4 linked regions of the Arabidopsis thaliana genome follow. The protein of the gene in region 4 interacts with the protein of the main gene of each other region in a pairwise test. Each region holds a gene or a part of one and is shown on either strand. Other genes may lie near its edges. The genes, in order: AN3, GIF2, GIF3 and GRF4.

What was found.
Region 1: the proteins of GRF4 (region 4) and AN3 interact in binary tests that used the Arabidopsis thaliana proteins (3 or more experiments, as listed by UniProt).
Region 2: the proteins of GRF4 (region 4) and GIF2 interact in binary tests that used the Arabidopsis thaliana proteins (3 or more experiments, as listed by UniProt).
Region 3: the proteins of GRF4 (region 4) and GIF3 interact in binary tests that used the Arabidopsis thaliana proteins (3 or more experiments, as listed by UniProt).

The regions. Positions count from the first base shown.
Region 1 is NC_003076.8:10,646,919-10,651,952, forward strand, and holds AN3 (SSXT family protein), read right to left. Parts: upstream 3,145-5,034; 5' UTR 2,703-3,144; coding exon 2,622-2,702; exon of another isoform or gene 2,470-2,621; intron 2,458-2,469; exon of another isoform or gene 1,624-2,457; coding exon 1,547-1,623; intron 1,468-1,546; coding exon 1,383-1,467; intron 1,303-1,382; coding exon 913-1,302; 3' UTR 549-912; downstream 1-548. UniProt on the Arabidopsis thaliana protein: Transcription coactivator that plays a role in the regulation of cell expansion in leaf and cotyledons tissues.
Region 2 is NC_003070.9:70,371-74,634, reverse strand, and holds GIF2 (GRF1-interacting factor 2), read right to left. Parts: upstream 2,279-4,264; 5' UTR 2,053-2,278; coding exon 1,966-2,052; exon of another isoform or gene 1,721-1,965; coding exon 1,619-1,720; exon of another isoform or gene 1,549-1,618; coding exon 1,472-1,548; intron 1,349-1,471; coding exon 1,240-1,348; intron 1,148-1,239; coding exon 895-1,147; intron 814-894; coding exon 752-813; 3' UTR 539-751; downstream 1-538. Other genes in the region: AT1G01170 (ozone-responsive stress-like protein (DUF1138)), read left to right, coding at 192-297, 385-530; AT1G01150 (Homeodomain-like protein with RING/FYVE/PHD-type zinc finger domain-containing protein), read left to right, coding at 2,637-2,693, 2,914-3,594, 3,667-3,795. UniProt on the Arabidopsis thaliana protein: Transcription coactivator that plays a role in the regulation of cell expansion in leaf and cotyledons tissues.
Region 3 is NC_003075.7:355,395-359,871, forward strand, and holds GIF3 (GRF1-interacting factor 3), read left to right. Parts: upstream 1-1,950; 5' UTR 1,951-2,280; coding exon 2,281-2,364; intron 2,365-2,696; coding exon 2,697-2,773; intron 2,774-2,874; coding exon 2,875-2,983; intron 2,984-3,058; coding exon 3,059-3,332; coding exon of another isoform or gene 3,333-3,406; coding exon 3,407-3,534; 3' UTR 3,535-3,943; downstream 3,944-4,477. Other genes in the region: AT4G00840 (DHHC-type zinc finger family protein), read right to left, coding at 89-205, 284-349, 437-522, 637-763, 871-962, 1,058-1,256, 1,523-1,711; ATOZI1 (monopolar spindle protein (DUF1138)), read right to left, coding at 4,154-4,299, 4,378-4,474. UniProt on the Arabidopsis thaliana protein: Transcription coactivator that plays a role in the regulation of cell expansion in leaf and cotyledons tissues.
Region 4 is NC_003074.8:19,615,475-19,620,219, forward strand, and holds GRF4 (growth-regulating factor 4), read right to left. Parts: upstream 3,034-4,745; 5' UTR 2,795-3,033; coding exon 2,563-2,794; intron 2,466-2,562; coding exon 2,271-2,465; intron 1,974-2,270; coding exon 1,676-1,973; intron 1,121-1,675; coding exon 703-1,120; 3' UTR 503-702; downstream 1-502. UniProt on the Arabidopsis thaliana protein: Transcription activator that plays a role in the regulation of cell expansion in leaf and cotyledons tissues.

The sequences.
Region 1 (5,034 bases), on a different chromosome or scaffold from region 4:
AGCGCACTACCAGTTAGACAAAAATGAAGTCTAGTAGAGCAGGCATGAAGCCAACATGTCAAATACATACTTGGGGCCTATGGTGGTGCGGTCTAAACATTTAACTAGTGTTTGTGACATATTGTTTCAAGGCTTATAGTTTTGCCAAAGGGAAGGAAGTAATAGAATAACTGAAGACTTCTCTTGGCTTGTGATTGAGTTGTAAAAAGCAGGGGCTGGGCTTGGCCTCCTAGGGGAATCCAGACACTAGAAAAACAATCGTCGATGGAACTCTCAACTAAGGGAAATCCACACTCAATACTACTTGAAGAATCTAGGACGAAGCAAAGGGACCAAAAGACACATTTTTGAAACCCTCTTTTCTTCACGAGACTTTATCTTAAATGGACCCGAATATGGTCTTTGGTTTGAGTGCAGCTTCGGGTGGCTATGGTCCGGTCTTCAGCAGTATGGGACCTTGCGAGGACCACTAAGGCTGGTCATATGAGTCTTGGACTGAACCGGTTGGACTTTATCAACTATAAAATAAAATTATGTATAACAGCCAGAAAAAAAAAACAATAATATAGCCTACATAACGATTTAGAATCCAAATAGGTAACATCAATGATCTACAAAACTTCAGTCCTGGTTAAAGCAAAAGAGTCTAACTCAGAGAAATAACATATTAAGATTACGACACAACTTGGAGCCAGCAGATTTACATGGTACACTACCACGAAAGAGGTTCACTGTTTTAGGGAACAAACATAGAGAGAATAACAAAACTAAAAAGAAGTAAATAAAGAGTTCTTTGCTTCTTCAACAAGCAACTAAAACCAAAACACACTAACTTCAAGACTCCTATTATTACTACTACTTCTTCTGCTGCTGCTGCTGCTTCATCATTAAGATTCCTTGTGCCACACTCTTTCAATTCCCATCATCTGATGATTTCAAGTAAAGGGTTTCTCCACCATCCCCTGAACTTCCTCCTCTGCCTTCACCGCCACCACCACTTCCCATTTCCGGCTTCCCACGGCCAAAATCATGAAACCCACCAGCCTCTCCCTGAAGGATATGGAGACCACTGCTTCCTCCTCCTCCGCTGCTCGAGCTCATTCCAAGCTGGCTATGGTGCAATTGCTGATGCTGAAGCGTCGCGTAAGGCTGCTGCTGCTGCTGTTGCTGAGCATACAACATTGAAGATCGAGCCGCCATTAGAGACTGCTGAGTCATCTGTTGCTGTTGAGTCGCTTGTTGCTGCTGCAAATAGTGTGACCCTCCTTCTCCCTGAATCATCCCACCACCAGCAGATCCATACTAATAACCAAACAAAACAAATCACTTTCTCAATTGATCATACAACAAAATTTGGAATACTTCACTGTATAAACAATCACCTGGCTATGCACACTTGGTGGCTGAGGCTGAGAATCTGCTATTGCAGCTAGGTACATTAGGTTGCGTTGAAGCCTTGCTTGATTCCTATAACCATTTTAATCATCATTTCTTGTTACTCAACAGAACACAAGTGAAATCATAAAGGAGATATGTTGTCTCTTACTCGGCGCATTCGCTAAGCTTTCCAGAGTTTTGAGACTCAACAATCTTCAGAATCAACGATTTGTTTTCGTCCAAGTACTACAATCAAACATTTTCATTAATCATTACTAATGCTACAAACAAAAAATTTGCATACTATTTTGTTTTTGTTGTAATAAAGACATAGAAAATCTCAAAAGGAGACCCCAGTAACTTAAATTCCGACTTATCTCAAAAGACAATAATGTTGAAATATCACAAAAGTGTAACGAAAGATTTTCTTCGAAAAGATTTTGAGGACCACACAAAAAAAAAACTGAGATAAGGACCAGATGTTGTTTCGGACCACAAAGTATATCTGGTCATGTAAGCAATAAAAGAAACACTTGGACTGGAAAATACACATAGATCTACTTATAATGATAACAAATCTAAACAGGACCACCCACAATATTCACATAAATGGCTTTGTGGTTTTTGCCATCAATGAAACTTCCAGAACCCGAAAACCAAGACAAGAAGAAAAAACGAGATATGTGAAACAAATCTTCAGTTCCCAAGATTTGTCTGTTTTGAACACGTTATTTTTCATTACATGTTTCAAGAACTCAAAACACAACTGGACCCTAAACATTCATTTTCATTGAAAGAAAGAATCTTTCTTAACTTTGTCTGGTTTTAGACATTTAATTAGCATCAAAGTTAACTGATAATACACCAAATCTATAAGGAAAAGAAAAAAAGTTGAAAGAATCATCTTAGTGACCAAAGCATCTCTACCAACCAAATTTATCAAACATAAACACACATGTATTAAAACTAATTTCTCTATGAAAAAAAAAGACATGGAAACAAGAATAACAAGAACTCTTTTACCAAACAAAAAAGAACCAATGAAAAAAAATCATCTATGTTATGAGAACAGAAGAAAAGGGTTTCACATACTTTTTTATATAATATAAAGAAAAAGTTATAAGGTACTTGCAAGAGAGATTTCTTCACTTTCCTTTATGAATTCAAAGAAACATATAATAAAGAAAAAAGAAAGAGATAATATAATAGAAGAAGAAGGAGAAGGAGGAGAAGGAGAAGAGAACCTGTTGGATATGATCAGAGGTAACATTGCTGGGGTAGTAACCAGCCATCATGGGCTGCATCTGCATCAGGTGCTGTTGCATTTCTTTTGCTATTTTATATAAAACCTGATAATTCCTTCTTATTTATTTATATATTTTATATATATAAGTTTTTATAGAGACAACCCCCACCACAAAACCCAGAGGAAAAAGAGAAGTCTCACCAAGTGAGAGAGAGAGATATTAACTTTTGTATCTGTCTCTCTCTCTTTCCTCTATGCTTCTGTATATAGAAAACTCTTAACTATTGAAGATGTGTATCTCTGTGTGTGTGTTATCTCGCTTTCTCTCCTCCACAAAAGTTGTTTTGCGTTAAAAGACTGAGAGAGACAGTGAAGTCTCTTAAATAGAAAGAGAGAGAGAGAAGAGAAGAGAGTGTTTTTCTCTTTTTCTTGGGTTTTGGGGTTTGGTTTTGTTGGTTTCTTTCTGTCTCATCCTATCTCTGTCTCTGCGAAGAAGAGGAGGTCACGTGACGAGTCATACTTTATTATAGAGACGTGAGACCTTTACATATATACTACTACTTATCAATATGTACACATTGTTGATTAAATTATTACTTTGAAGTTTGAACCCTTCGTATATAGAGACGTAACTATATACCAAATAATACTGTTTACTCCTTCGTATGTATATACGGTGTATTTACTTGTATATATATGTAATTATGTATATTAAAATCTCTTACAACTTTTGTATAATATTTTCTACATTTATAGATTCATTTCGGGATTTTATAATAAAGTAATGCAAAGTAGGATTTATTGTTTTCTAGATTGTTTTGGTAATTTATTGTTTTCTAGTTTTCTAGTTTTCTTTTACTATATCAAAGAATATTTTTGTCGTCTTATTTTGTTTTGGTAATTAATATATAAAAAAAAGATGTCTTTAGTTTTTCGAAAAATAAGATTCATGTATTTACATTTTAATATAAAAAAATGTTCTACATAGGAGTTTTTAACCTAGTGGATTGAATTTGTATTTTTTTAATAATTTATTATATTTAGTTTTACACAACATTTTTTTTACAATGGTTTAATTTTTTATCATGAGAGGTCACATCTAGATGCGATTCTTCACATTTAAAATAAAATGGATTAATGAAAAAATTAGATTAAGAAGTAGCTATGTGAGATAATTTTCTTTGTAGATGTTTGATTGTGTTGATCAAAAGAGTCTCTTCTCTCTTATACCTTAAAATCATATTTATAGGATTTAATCTCAACCAAATTACTGAATTATGTTGTGACTTAGTCTTCTTATGCGGATTAGATTTGGCATAACTAGTTCCCTAGAACATGTTATCAAAACAAGTGTGTTTGGTTTGTTAGCTTAATGATGTTTTTCATTTTGTTTTAAAAGTAGCGCATGACTCGTCTCGTCTCATCACTAACCATCTTTATGTGTTTTGGCAAAATGCCAAAATGTAAACACATTTCTTACGCTTACCAATAGTTATCTTCTTTTTTTTTTTGGTCTTTTTTTTTTATCGAATCACGTAACACATTATAATTGACTGATATCTTAATAGATGAAATTTATCCTCAACAATGATCAATACATGTTTCTTTTTTTTTACATATGTTAATACTAACTCGATCACTTGTCTCGACCAATAAGACGAGTTATCGACCATCAAAACACTGCCCTAACTTGGTTTGAATGTTTAATATTGATGATTCTCAACCAAAGGGTCTCTAAAGTTTTTGAAATGCTTTTGTAAAGAAAATAATAATAATTAGTTTGGAGTTATTTGATAAGTCTCATTAACTTTTTGTTCGAATTCTTGAAGTACGTTTCGATGGTCGGTAATTTAAAAAGAAAAAGATTCAACAGCTATATTATCTTTGCGTGGTTATACTTAATTCCACGTTAAACCCTCTTGTAGATGTGGTTAAATATTAATTAACACTTTATTCGTTGGTACCAAAAATGGATCCGAGATATTCCTTCTGCATATATGAACCACGGAGGCTCAACTTTTAATGTTTGTTTGTTTAACTATAGTATTATGTATGAACATTAAAGTAATCTGTAAGGATAAATGAATTGTTTTCTTTTCCCGATTAATTATGTCTTATAGACAATAACCAAACCAATAGTGTTTCTATGCCATCTAAAAGCAAACCAAAAACACTAGGAACAAAACTAAAAATACCATTTCTTCTTTTTTATCAGACCAATATAGTTGTTTGCATACTGTAAATTGAGATTATGAAGTTAAAGGTAGGATTCTGAAACGCTTACAAATGATCAATTCATTTTGGTTAATACCTAAAAGAAATATTAAATTTTTACGACATTAATTTTATACTACCTTATTTTCTATATAACAGCCATAAATTTTATAGTTAATGTGAGGTTGATGTTGAAT
Region 2 (4,264 bases), on a different chromosome or scaffold from region 4:
CCTTTTATTTTTCTTTTGAATTACCGTCTTCATTGGTTATATGATAACTTGATAAGTAAAGCTTCAATAATTGAATTTGATCTGTGTTTTTTTGGCCTTAATACTAAATCCTTACATAAGCTTTGTTGCTTCTCCTCTTGTGAGTTGAGTGTTAAGTTGTAATAATGGTTCACTTTCAGCTTTAGAAGAAAATGGCATCAGGAGGTAAAGCCAAGTACATAATCGGTGCTCTCATCGGTTCTTTCGGAATCTCATACATCTTCGACAAAGTTATCTCTGATAATAAGATCTTTGGAGGCAAGTTCTGCTCAAGATTTATCTAGTTTTGTGTGTGTTTTCAAGTTAGGGACGATCTTAATGGTTATCTTCTTGTGAAAATTTCAGGGACTACTCCAGGAACTGTCTCTAACAAAGAATGGTGGGCAGCAACGGATGAGAAATTCCAAGCATGGCCAAGAACCGCTGGTCCTCCCGTTGTTATGAATCCCATTAGCCGTCAGAATTTCATCGTCAAGACTCGTCCGGAATGAGAAAATAATAAGTTCAATGCTTTGATTTTCAGAATAAGATGAACGATGACGATGTTTTCTAAATCCGAGCTTGTACTAAATAACAATACATTACAACACGGTTTGCGGAACTACTCCACAGTCTATCTTCTGTTAAAAAACTCAAACAAGCTATTGCAAAAAGCCCTTACGAGACTCACAAGTCCTAAATATCAACAAAACAAAGCTTCTTTGGATCCTTTTCACTTGCCATCATCTTTTCCTTGTCCATCTGCTCCATCTTGCTTTCCTCCTCTAAGCCCCACTGTTAGCAAAGAAAGAAGTAATGGATACAAGTTACAATTTATGAGATTGAGTATTGTCTTAATAATGTAAAGAGAGTTACCGTTTCCTCCAAGACCGGTTTCTGGTTGTTGCATCGCATGCTGCATCCCGTTGTTGGTCATACCCATTGGTCTAATCCCCATGTGTCCTTGCATAGCTTGCTGATGTATCTGCTGCTGCTGTTGCGGATCCTGAAACTGGAGTGGGCTACCAAACTGTAAAGGACCCCTTGGAGCGAAAATCCCTGCAGGGGATGCTTGTGGGTGTTGCATGAAGTAGCTAGGTGGTTGCATCCCAGAATGCGGTGTTGCCATCTAACAGAAATCATACCCAACAGTAAGCAAACCCCCAAACAACATTAAATTTCTGTGATAGATCGCAATTGAGTTTTATCATCACAAACAACCTGGGCAGCGACAGCTGTAGATGGTGAAGGTCCTGGCGTAGGTGGTGGGGGTTGAGCATCAGCAATTGCAGCAAGATACATCAAGTTCTTCTGGAGAAGAGCTTGGTACCTGAAAATATAACAGAGCAAAAGATAGAATAACTATATAAACCTCACCATTAATAATAGTAATTCTAAGCTTCCATTACTATCTAAGAGACATAAGAAGATGGATAGAAAAGGTGAGACTTACTGGGCGCACTCAGCAAGTTTACCGAGATTCTGGTTTTCCATGATGGCCATAATCAGCTTCTTGTTCTCATCAAGGTACTGCGTTTAAGCAAAGGAAAGAGAATGACAAGGAAATGACGATGCAGCCTATCATCTTACCATGGAAGACATCAAGCCAAGAGAAAGTACAAAACAACAACATCAAGCAAGCATCTAACTTCAATGTCCATTCTTGAAAACCGGATTCAAAGTTTCCTGACCCACCAAGCATCTACTAATTTCCTAGTCCTAGAAACTGTCTCTTCTCATCATCACCAACAACAGACTCTCAAGTGTTGTGGAATTAACGAGAAAGATTCAAATGAAAACCCTAATTGCCACCAATTACAGTCAAAAGAGTATTACTTGCACTCAGAAGCCAATGATTTTGTCAGTACAAAAAAGCTCTAAGAGCCTCCTAAGTAGTGTTGAACAAATTAAGAGAGAGGGAGAGATATAGGGTGAGAAAGAAGGAACCTTTTGGATCTGTTCGGTAGTGATGTTGTTAGCAGGGGGAATCGACGGAACCATCGGAAACATTTGCGGAGACTGCTGCTGCTGCATCTTCTTCTTCTTTACTACTTACTTTGCCCCAACTAAACCCTAATTTCGTCTTCCCCAAAAAACCCTCGACAAAACCCAGACCGATCCAAACGCAGGAAATGATTGCAAGCTATATCTATATATATTATAGAGAGAGAATCCTGCAATTTATTACTTGGATTCACCTGGATGTCGAACCACCTCTGTGTGGATTTTATGACCAAAAATGCCTCTGTCTCTCTCTCTCTCTCTCTAATTTGTCTTTACAAAACTCTAAACGAAAACATAAAACATTAATTAATACAGCAACGAGCAACCTCTAACCAAATTAGAAAGTTTTGGATATATTTGGGCCAATGGGAAAAAAGGACATATTTGGGCCTAAGACGGTTCTAAGGCCCATGGACCATCGAGAAAGTTACATTGCAAAGTACTACATTGAGTCAGTTTCTTCCTTCTTCGCCTAAATTCGAAATTTCGAAACCTCAGACACACTTACAGAGAGACCAAACGGTAACATACAGTAGCTTCTTTTTCTTATTCGTTAAGAAATCTCACGTAAACCCTTCGAATTTCTCAAATCTTCACTCGGAATCTGAAAAAAAATGGTGAGTGATCTCCCGCTTGATGAAGATGATATCGCTCTCCTCAAGAGTCCTTATGTAAGCACCCCTTTTAGAAGAAACCTTTAATTTATTTTTTCTCGAATTTTAGTCTTTACTCGGATGTCGCTTGTGATACGTTAGAGAACAATTTGATATTTTTTACTGTGTAATTAGAACAAATTATGTCTTAATTGGTCTTAGATAACCTTAAATTGGTCGATTTAGTTCAATTTTGTGTAAACACTCTTACTTGGATTTATCTTCTTCTCTATCTTAGATAGGTGAAATTGTTGAAGAAATTGGCTTTGTGAGAGAAAAGCGCATTGCTCATTGTATTGTTCAGTGTGATGATGGTGGTGATGAGGACGTCAACTCTGCTCCAAACATTTTCACTTATGATAATGTGCCTCTTAAGAAGCGCCACTACCTTGGGACAAGTGACACTTTCAGAAGCTTTGAGCCGTTGAACGAACACGCATGTATTGTATGCGATATTGCAGACGATGGTGTAGTACCTTGTTCTGGGAATGAATGCCCTCTCGCTGTTCACAGGAAGTGTGTTGAGCTTGATTGTGAAGATCCTGCAACCTTTTACTGTCCCTATTGTTGGTTTAAGGAGCAAGCTACTAGATCCACGGCTTTGAGAACAAGGGGTGTTGCAGCTGCGAAGACCCTTGTTCAATATGGATGTAGTGAGCTGAGGAGTGGAGATATAGTCATGACGAGAGAAAACAGTCAACTAGAGAATGGTTCTGATAATTCACTACCAATGCAACTACATGAGAACCTTCATCAATTACAAGAACTGGTCAAGCACCTTAAGGCTCGAAATTCCCAGTTAGACGAGTCAACAGATCAATTCATTGATATGGAGAAATCTTGCGGAGAAGCTTATGCTGTTGTTAATGATCAGCCAAAAAGGGTACTATGGACAGTCAACGAAGAGAAGATGTTGAGGGTAAAACCACCACACTTTTTTCTTGAAATACACTTTTAGCTTAAACTTATAGTATATGTTTATTTTGGATAGGAGGGAGTGGAGAAATTTTCTGATACAATCAACAAAAACATGCCTTGGAAGAAGATTTTGGAGATGGGAAAAGGTATATTCCACACAACTCGTAATTCCTCCGATCTTAAGGACAAATGGAGAAATATGGTGCGTATGTGATTCCTTTCACCATAAAATCCTTAGAAGTATTAAATGACGCATTTGATATCAAAAACATTAAGACAAATCCTAGTGACCTTTTGAATTGGCAGTATAGTAGTGTGACGACTTTGATGTTAGTCCTTCCTTGTAATCGCAGTTTCGGATTCCTCCGTGTAGATCTTTTGGTAACAGTAGTCCTTATAGATGATGTTCGCTTTGTATCCCTTATGTTGATATTAAGAGAAGATAACGTGTCTTTTGTAGTAGCCGTCCCACTCTGTTAGTCTTTTGTTTTGTACCCTTCTTTAAACAAAACAGAGGATTGAGAAAAAGAGAATCATATGGGAATTATGGATATAATTTTGAAGAACTTAAAAATAGGTTAATCTTTTAAGACTATGGGGAGATAACTTGTCGCACAAGTACCAAATGTTTCGGAAACAAAGGTGAAAAAATCTACAAACTTAACAATAAA
Region 3 (4,477 bases), on a different chromosome or scaffold from region 4:
AATTCTTTTTGAGTAGAGAGTTATCTACATTGGAGTGCAGTTGAAGGCTGTTTCGAATATGATTGATTGATTTTGTTTCAACTTTCAATCAAGGGTCGATGTCAGAACAAGTTGGAAATTCAAGGCCTTCAAGGGAAGTTATGTTATCGATATCGTCTTTAGAGTACAATGGGAGGAGCCAAAACGCCTTCTTCTTCCCAAAAACCTTCACAAGATGAAAACAAAGAGTTATATATTTAATTAACTAACAATCCATGGAATGATGAAAACAATAAAATCTCACCTGCTCGAAGTTTTTCTTCTTTCCTAAGTCATATTTCCATCTGACTTCTCCATTTTTCTCATGAACCTAAAAAAATAAGACAATGATTCAGAGAAGAGACTCATATTTTCAAGACTTAGATTGTTTGTGAAAGCAAGAACATAAAAGATTTACCTCAACTGAAGTAGTGTTGGATGAGAGAAGAGAAATATGCATGACTACGAAACAAAGAAGGCTGAGAACGAACGCAAAGTTAAGAACTGCATCAAGGGGATAGAATCTGTAAGAAACATAAAGACGGAAAATGAGACCCAGAAAAAAGCTAAGCACTTTCTGGGAAAAGGAAAACGAGAAAAAGAACCGTTTATACTCACCGAATGCCAGAACGAGAGAGGCCAGTTTACCCGGAGAAGAAGAATGCTTTATAGCTTGGCTGAAGAATTCAATGAAACTAGGAAGCAAGACAATAACATCCAACATTGTCTCAAGAAAAGTATAGAACTACAAATTAAAAAAAGAGGGTGAAGAAATCAGCAAATCAAATAATCCCAATGCTCGCTTAAACCTTTTAAGAACCATAAGAGACTACAATGGAAATGAATATTTACCAGAAAGAGAAGGAAAAACTTGTAATTGCGTGCTCCAACACAGTTTACAATCCAAACACAATGATGATCCATCTTAAGAACACATCTTTGACCTACATAAGGAAACAAAGAACCGAATAAAGCTTTCTTTCTCTATCAGTAGAAACACAAGCAGAACATAGTATAAACAAATCAGATTTCGCCTTACACACAGAACAATGATGGCAACGAGGCGGCTTAACATTCCGGCATTTGGTACAGTAACCTAAAGAGCCAAAAGCTCCTTGATCTGTCGAAGTACCAGCCTCCAAACTGTCACCACCTCCCATTTCTCTTCTGAAATGCTCAGGAACAGAACCTGGGTCTGTAAAAACTGTTGTGAAGTAGCTCCACAACAGCATTATCAGCTGCAAAGAACCAAGCAAATCAGAAGTATAATTGTAAACCTAAACTCAGGGAGCCTAAACATTTACTAACAATCAATGGTCTAAACAATGATTATGTATCTACACTGCTTCATGCTTCATAACTACATTGCATTTCTCATTCTCTTGGCTACATAAGTTTCATGCCACATCCCTAAGTTTAAGGTTTAGGGGTTAAGTAGCAGAAAACCTAGACTTACAATTCCAGAAACAAAACCTAATCTGAAATTATGAGACTTGGAAATTACCAGGAAATGGAAAACAAAGATGATTAAGGCAGCGAGGGCGGATAAAGCTCCATGGTCTCCGCGGATCAAGATCGGCCACCATGTGCTAACTACGACGGCGTAGTAAGATACACCAACGACGGCGACGACAAGAAGGATCATGAAATAGCCGAGGACTTTCAGACCGGAGCAGAACCGGAAAAGGTTCATCTCCAGCCTGGTCAAAGGGAGAATCCGGACAATTCTTCGAGTCCGAGCCGGGAACAACCGCCGTAAAATATCCGGAGCCACGGTGAGGGATCGGAGTTTGCTTGGTTCGGAGGACAACGACGAATCGCCGTCGTGGAGCTGATATTGATACAGATTTAAAGTAACCTTCTTCTTGACACAGAAGCTTTCATAATTCTTTATAAGGCCCATTAACAGGCCCAATAAATAATAACAGCTACAAATGTTGTCTTTTTTTGGTTATCGTAGAGCTGACGAAAAATCAGACAAGGTGCCACGTGTACATTCGGTGGGGGAGACAAATTAATTGGTTGGGGGACTTTTTTGTCCTACGATTTCCCAGAAACCTCGTCGGCGAAATTCAAACAAATCAAAAGTCTTAAATTTAAGGATAATCCAAAATATTCGTTTGTTGAATATTTTTGCATCAGTTTGTTTTGCATTGGGCTCTTAAACCAATTCTATCACTCAGAATTATTGTTTTGTAATAATCGTGAGAAGAAACTTTAGGGTTTCACTGTTTCAGAGTTTTGATTGGTGAATTATAAAAGATGCAGCAATCTCCACAGATGATTCCGATGGTTCTTCCTTCATTTCCGCCCACCAATAATATCACCACCGAACAGATCCAAAAGGTTACTACTTTACTTTCTATATTTTTTGTCTTTCTGTTGTTTAGTCATAATGTCTGTTTATCGTAGCTTTGAAATTGGTTGTGTAATGATGTTTTTGAGTAGTTTAAACTGTTGTAATGAACTTTCCTTCTTGAGTATGATTTGTTTTAAAGTGTCATTGTTTTCCGCTTTAACTTTTTTTTGTTACTGGAATTGGATGTACAATCATGAGTTTGGAGTTTTTTTTTGAGTGAAAACAGAGTATTTGTATGCATATGAGATTTGAAAGCTTAAAATCAGATTGTGAAGATGACATGTTGACACAGTGAGTCACTTATTGCTGCTTCTTGCAGTATCTTGATGAGAACAAGAAGCTGATAATGGCGATCTTGGAAAATCAGAACCTCGGTAAACTTGCAGAATGTGCTCAGTAAGTGTGGGATTCTCGATACCAAGACCGAGCTATGTTAGCTTTACTGATGGTAAATAGAATATTAATAATAAAACATGGTTCTTGCTTGATTCTTTTAGGTATCAAGCTCTTCTCCAGAAGAATTTGATGTATCTCGCTGCAATTGCGGATGCTCAACCTCAGCCACCAGCAGCTACACTAACATCAGGAGCCATGACTCCCCAAGCAGTAAGTTTCTGTTTTGATCAGTTGAAAAACAAAACATTTTGGTTCTTATAGTTTGTGTGTGTTTGGTTTCTGTAGATGGCTCCTAATCCGTCATCAATGCAGCCACCACCAAGCTACTTCATGCAGCAACATCAAGCTGTGGGAATGGCTCAACAAATACCTCCTGGGATTTTCCCTCCTAGAGGTCCATTGCAATTTGGTAGCCCGCATCAGTTTCTGGATCCGCAGCAACAGTTACATCAACAAGCTATGCAAGGGCACATGGGGATTAGACCAATGGGTTTGAATAATAACAACGGACTGCAACATCAAATGCACCACCATGAAACTGCTCTTGCCGCAAACAATGGTAATATTTGGTTTTACAGCAGTTTGGAACTTATTATCACATTACTGATTTTCACCTTCTTTCTCTACCAAAAGCGGGTCCTAACGATGCTAGTGGAGGAGGTAAACCGGATGGGACCAATATGAGCCAGAGTGGAGCTGATGGGCAAGGTGGCTCAGCCGCTAGACATGGCGGTGGTGATGCAAAAACTGAAGGAAAATGAAATAGAGGAAGAATAAGTGATGCTTCTTGTTGATATCAATTAGGTTCTACCTTTCATTTTTACTTTCTTCACGATGATATAAAAAAAAGGTTTTGTCATTTTATGAGTTAGTCTCTGTTAAAAGGGTTCTGAGACAGTTGAGTTTCAGTTCCTAGATGGATGTGGAATGGTTCACATTCACATGTACAATGTTAAATGTTGTTGTATGGTATTAGTGTCACCGGTTCAATTTGGTGTATGAACCGGGTTTAGAATCACGTTTACCTGATAGTTTGCCTCCAGGTTTGTGTGATAATTAATTCCAAGGCTTGAGATGAAAAGTAACAGTTTTAAAAATGTTTACAGAATCAGCGATAACAAAATTCCAAACCAAACAAACCAATAATGTCTTAGAAGTTTTTCTTTTTGGCTCGATTTCATTTATCGTCAAAATCAACAAACCTTACAAAAGTTATGCATCGGGGAAAAGCTTGATCCGAATAATGTGTTACGCATCAACACAAATTATTACTATAACCAGCTAGAGCAATCAGCCGATCCTCAAATCAAACACAAAAGAGCAGATATTCGAAAATGAATCCATAACGAATGAGAACGATGCACGAGAAGGCATCAAAAGTTATTCAGGACGTGACTTGACGATGAAATTCTGGCGACTGATAGGGTTCATGACGACGGGAGGACCAGCAACTCTTGGCCATGCTTGTAATCTCTCTTCAGTCGCAGCACCCCATTCCTTGTTAGTAATAGTTCCTGGTGTAGTACCTGAGAGTTCAAAACAAACCAAACCAAATTTAGCTTTCTGGATACATCATAAGTAGCTTTATAAGGTTTAAAACTTGCCTCCAAAAAGCTTATCATCAGAAATAACTTTGTCACACACGTAAGCTACTACCGCAGATCCCGCAAGGGCACCGATAATGTATGTAGCTCTCGACATCCT
Region 4 (4,745 bases):
CTGATCAAAAGTAAGTGAATCAAACTTCCAAAACACTTGTTCAAATCAAGACTAAAAATTCACATATCAATTGCATAAATTTGAGAATTATTGTACAAAAAAAACTTTAATCAGACCATCAAACAAACATTTCGAAAAAGGGTTTTAGAAATTAATCAGAAAGTTTAAATCTTGACGTACTTTAAAGGCGGAAACTTTCTGGCTCCGGAGCACGGAATCTGGCGAGAGGAAACGACAAATGGTTCTGCTAAATGTCTTCGCGATTGAAGCAAGCAAGCACAAACCCCAAGATTGTGAATTAGAGATGGACCGGAAAAGGTTTATTCCGGTTAAGTTCGAGACTTCACCGTCTAATCAATCTATACGATGCCGGTGATTATCAGGGTTTTGGTTTTACATTATACCGGGAACCGGTTAATTCGAGGTGGTTTAACTGGTTTCCCAAAATTGATTCGGTTTAGCTTAAGTGAAAAGCTCAAGTAACCACCTCTCCTGTACTTACTTGCAGGCAGAGGATCATATTAGTTTCATTGCTTATACAAAATTGTCAAGCTTTAAACATAAATATAATAGCAGAGTAAGGAACAAAACAATTCCAAAAGCAGAACTCACAATTCCAAAAGAAGACAAATTCAAAGATTATTTTCTGCAGAAAATAAAGATTCAAAGAGCACAAACCAAAAAGATTACAAACACTTTTCTTTAATGAAAAACTTGAGTAGAGATTCCCATCTGATGAAGAACACTTGACGTCGAAGAAGCTGACCTCAAAGCCTCAGCTAATGGTCCTCCCATATTGTTGTGGTGATTCCCTCCATTGCTCCACCAATTCATTTGCTCCCTCTCATTGTTGTTATTTCTCATGTTCTCTTCTTCTTCTTCATTGCCTGTGGAAAGTTTTAGAGAAACATCTGAGGACGTGTTGTTACCGGGCATGGAGATTGAAAGATGACAAGTGGATGAGCTCATTGGACTGGAGGTAGAGTCTGATGATCGTGGCCAATCGTCAAAGAAATGCCTCAAGATGTGACCATCGTCTGATCTTCCATTGCTGAATCCACTGTTAGCTTCATATGGCCTCTTGTTGTTGTTGCTTTCTTGTTTCATCTCTGAAGAACAACTGTGACAGAGAGGAATAAACATAAACATAAACATTGTCAACAAAAAGATCCAACATTTGAACAATAATAAGTAGACTGATCAATTCAACAAAATGGTTAGAGAAATAATTTAATCAGTCAAATGTGTGTGTTAATAAGAGGAAGTGGTTGCAGAATCTGAGAGCTTTATTTTGTTTGGCTTCTATGCAGGTTTGGTCAGCTTTCACTGAGGTCCTACCATGTCATTATTTCAAATACAACATAAGTATACATATCTCTTTAACTTTCTCTCTCTTTTCTATTTCTATGATTGAAAAGTCTCACCCAACTAGTAAATAAAATTAGATTCTATCAAATCCAACTGTTATCATTATCTCTCAACAAAAGAAAGAATAATGTTTTTATCACAAAGTATGTATGATAAGTCTCTCTTGTCACCCTATTGCCAACATTACCCCTTTCTTCACAGCATTACTTCACAGTGAAATCACTATTTCCCTAACAACAATATTTGTAATTAACCAAATCTACTAATGACTTTAATTAAACAGAGTGTTTGTGTTTTTTTATTGTACCTTTGTTGATGACTAAGGTGGAGAGGTTGAGATGAACCAGAGGAGAAGAAGTGGTTGTTGTTTGGTCCATGACCAAGCTCCTCACCTAAGACAAAAGAAGATGCGGTTGTTGTGGCTGTCGTTGTGATGGTGGTTGTGGCGGTTTCCACAGGCTTTCTTGAACGGTTTCTTCCACGGTGAATGTGGCGGTCACAATACTTGTGGCCCGCTACAACATCCCTTGAACATCTCCATTTCTTGCCGTCAGTTCTCTTACACCTCCCTGGCTCAGGATCCATTGCTCCTCTTCCCCAATACCCTGTTTTTTATTAAGTGTGTGTTGTTCATTAGTAACAACAAACATAAATCTCACTCAAGACATTGGTTACGAAATGTACTTGTCTGATTCTATCTATGTTGCTAATAGATCTTCTAGAAATAGGCTTATCATACACATAGGGTTTTAACTCCTTGCAAGGTTGCAGAGCAGCCTTATACTTATTTTAGATCTTGGAAATATAACTCCAACACCAAAACAAAGGGAATCTTTTTTACAAAGAAAGACTATTTCAAGGATAAGAGAAGCATAAACAATAGAGAGGAGAGAGAGACTGACAAGAAGGTTGGTGATGAGGAAAACTATGTTGAAGAGGATGGTGAAGGAAATGCATAGGAGATTGATGGAGGAGACTTTTCTTAATAGGTAAGAGAAGCTCTTGAGGAACAGAAGCACCAGCCAACATGTATCTATAGATCAGTGCTTGTAGCTCAAGTTCTTGCCACTGTGCCCAGCTGAAGAAGTTTCCCATCTCTACATATATATGTAACATAGAAACGTCAGATTAAATATCAGCAAAAACAACTTCAACATTAGAGTGAATAAGTCTTGTCCTTTTAAAACAACTTACTGAGGAACCTGGAAGAAGAAGAAGAATTAGAAGAGTCAGGAGAGAAGCAAGAGAAAGAAGAGGAAGAAGTGGGTTCAGGGACAAAGAGAGGAAGAGGAGCCGCAGCAGCAGAAGTAGCAGTTTGGGACTGAATCTGATCAAAGAAAAAGTTTGATATCTTAGTTGCAGCAGAGCCTTGTTCTTCTGACTCATTCTGCTGCTGACTTCTCCATTGTTTCAGTTGCAAGTCCATGGAACAAAGAGAGAGTGAGTGAGAGAGAGAGAAAGAGAGACAGACAGAGAAATGTGTTGGTTGCTTTTGGGATAGTTTTTTTACCCTCACTTCTTTTGTTTTTAGAGAGTCTGGCTTAATAAGCAAAGACAACCACAACAAAAGTCTTATTTGTTTGGCTTGTCATGTAAATACCCAAAATAAAAAACTTTTTCTTCTTCACTCTTTTGTTAGAGAGAGCTAGAGAAAAGTGTTTAGACTATGAGACAAGACAGTTGATAGGATAAACAAAATTAGTATATAATATTTGATTGATAGGTTTAATAAATTGTTACTTTATGTGATATAAAAATTATGTAAGTCAGAAAACAAAGAGAGAAAGCACTGCAAGATGCAGATGGAGAGATAGTAACCTGCAGTGTTTATGTCTCACTGCCTTGGAAATATCACTTCCTTTTTTTACCTCATTTTAATATTCCTTAAGTAGGTTAAAGAGATGCCTATTATGATATTGTTATTATGTTTTTTTATTAAGGATTCATTTAATGTGATGTAGAGTAACCTTCAATTTTTGTCTTACAGATGTCATTTGTCTCAGAGATTGTGTTACAAATGTATGAGATTCTAACTTCTAAGCATGATTAATCATTTGGGTTTTGACTAAATAGTCTCCATTTGCAGAGAGCTACAATACAATCTCAGCTCTATTTACTCTCTTTGGTTAGTAAGTTTTCCAAATACTTTACCATTTTAGTGGTTTAACCATATTTGTCTTTTAATTTGTAACCGTCATTACTTTTCTCATCTGTTACAATATTATTGTTACTCATAAAATATTATGTAACGTCTGTGTTTGTTTGATTTATTAAAAAAAAATTATAACTTCCTTATATAAATGTAGAAATGGACATTTATCTTTGTGTTATCTTAAAAAGACATGGCTAGCTAGTAGTATATGTACATATCTAAACACATCGAAAGGAGGGAATCATATTATTACCAGAAAAGGCCAAGTAAACTTGGAAACATTTGTTAAAATGAAGTTAGAAACATTTATTTGATATCTTCACTTGGCTGAATAATACAAAAGACATTTATGATTTTCAAAGTATCTTTATTTGGTGGTGCCAAAACAAAAAACGATAGCATTATTTTGTAGTTTTGAGGAAATAAAGTAATAAATATGAGAAGGACGATAACGATATTTCATGTAGGAGTGAGCCACAACCAAAGACTATGATGACTATTGAGAGAGTTTCTTGAGTTTTCTTTTCATTCATTCCCACCAGTTTCGGCGGCATTTATATTTGCACTAAGAAAAATATAAGAAAAACTCAATTCCTTAAGTACAGTTCAATGTTATGTACACTTCATTTGCTGTAAATCTTGTGAACCAAATAAAAAAGAAGAGGAATATCATAACATAACACCCAAAATAAACTTTGTTTTCAAAATATACCATAGGTTCTTTTTGACTTTGTAAAATTTTCCTTTTTGAAAAACAAAAATCTTTGTAACAAGTATAAAGCGGCAACTGAATTTAATAAACATTTTACGTTTTTTTTTTTAGAATAGAAAAAATATTTCGCAAATGGCCTAAACAAAATATTAGCCTCTAAAATAGAAATATTTTTTGTTGATACTTGATAGTATAATGGATCTTGTGCACTAATGATGGGTCTTAACTAATAAAGTAATAATGGATCCTGTGCACTAATATTTTGGGCCAGAACTTGTCATATACCAAAGATAATGATATCGAAGGAAAACAAACTGAAAGCAAAGTGTGAACGTAATGACATATTGTATGTCTTTTTTCAATCATGAACACGAACAAAGATTACATGCAGATGCAGTAATACTAATGGTAACAAAACAACCAAACAAATGTTGATTATCTAGACTAACTTTATATATATCTTGTTTAAACTTTAACCTACATGGTTATTAGGTTATACATGGTAAATGCATT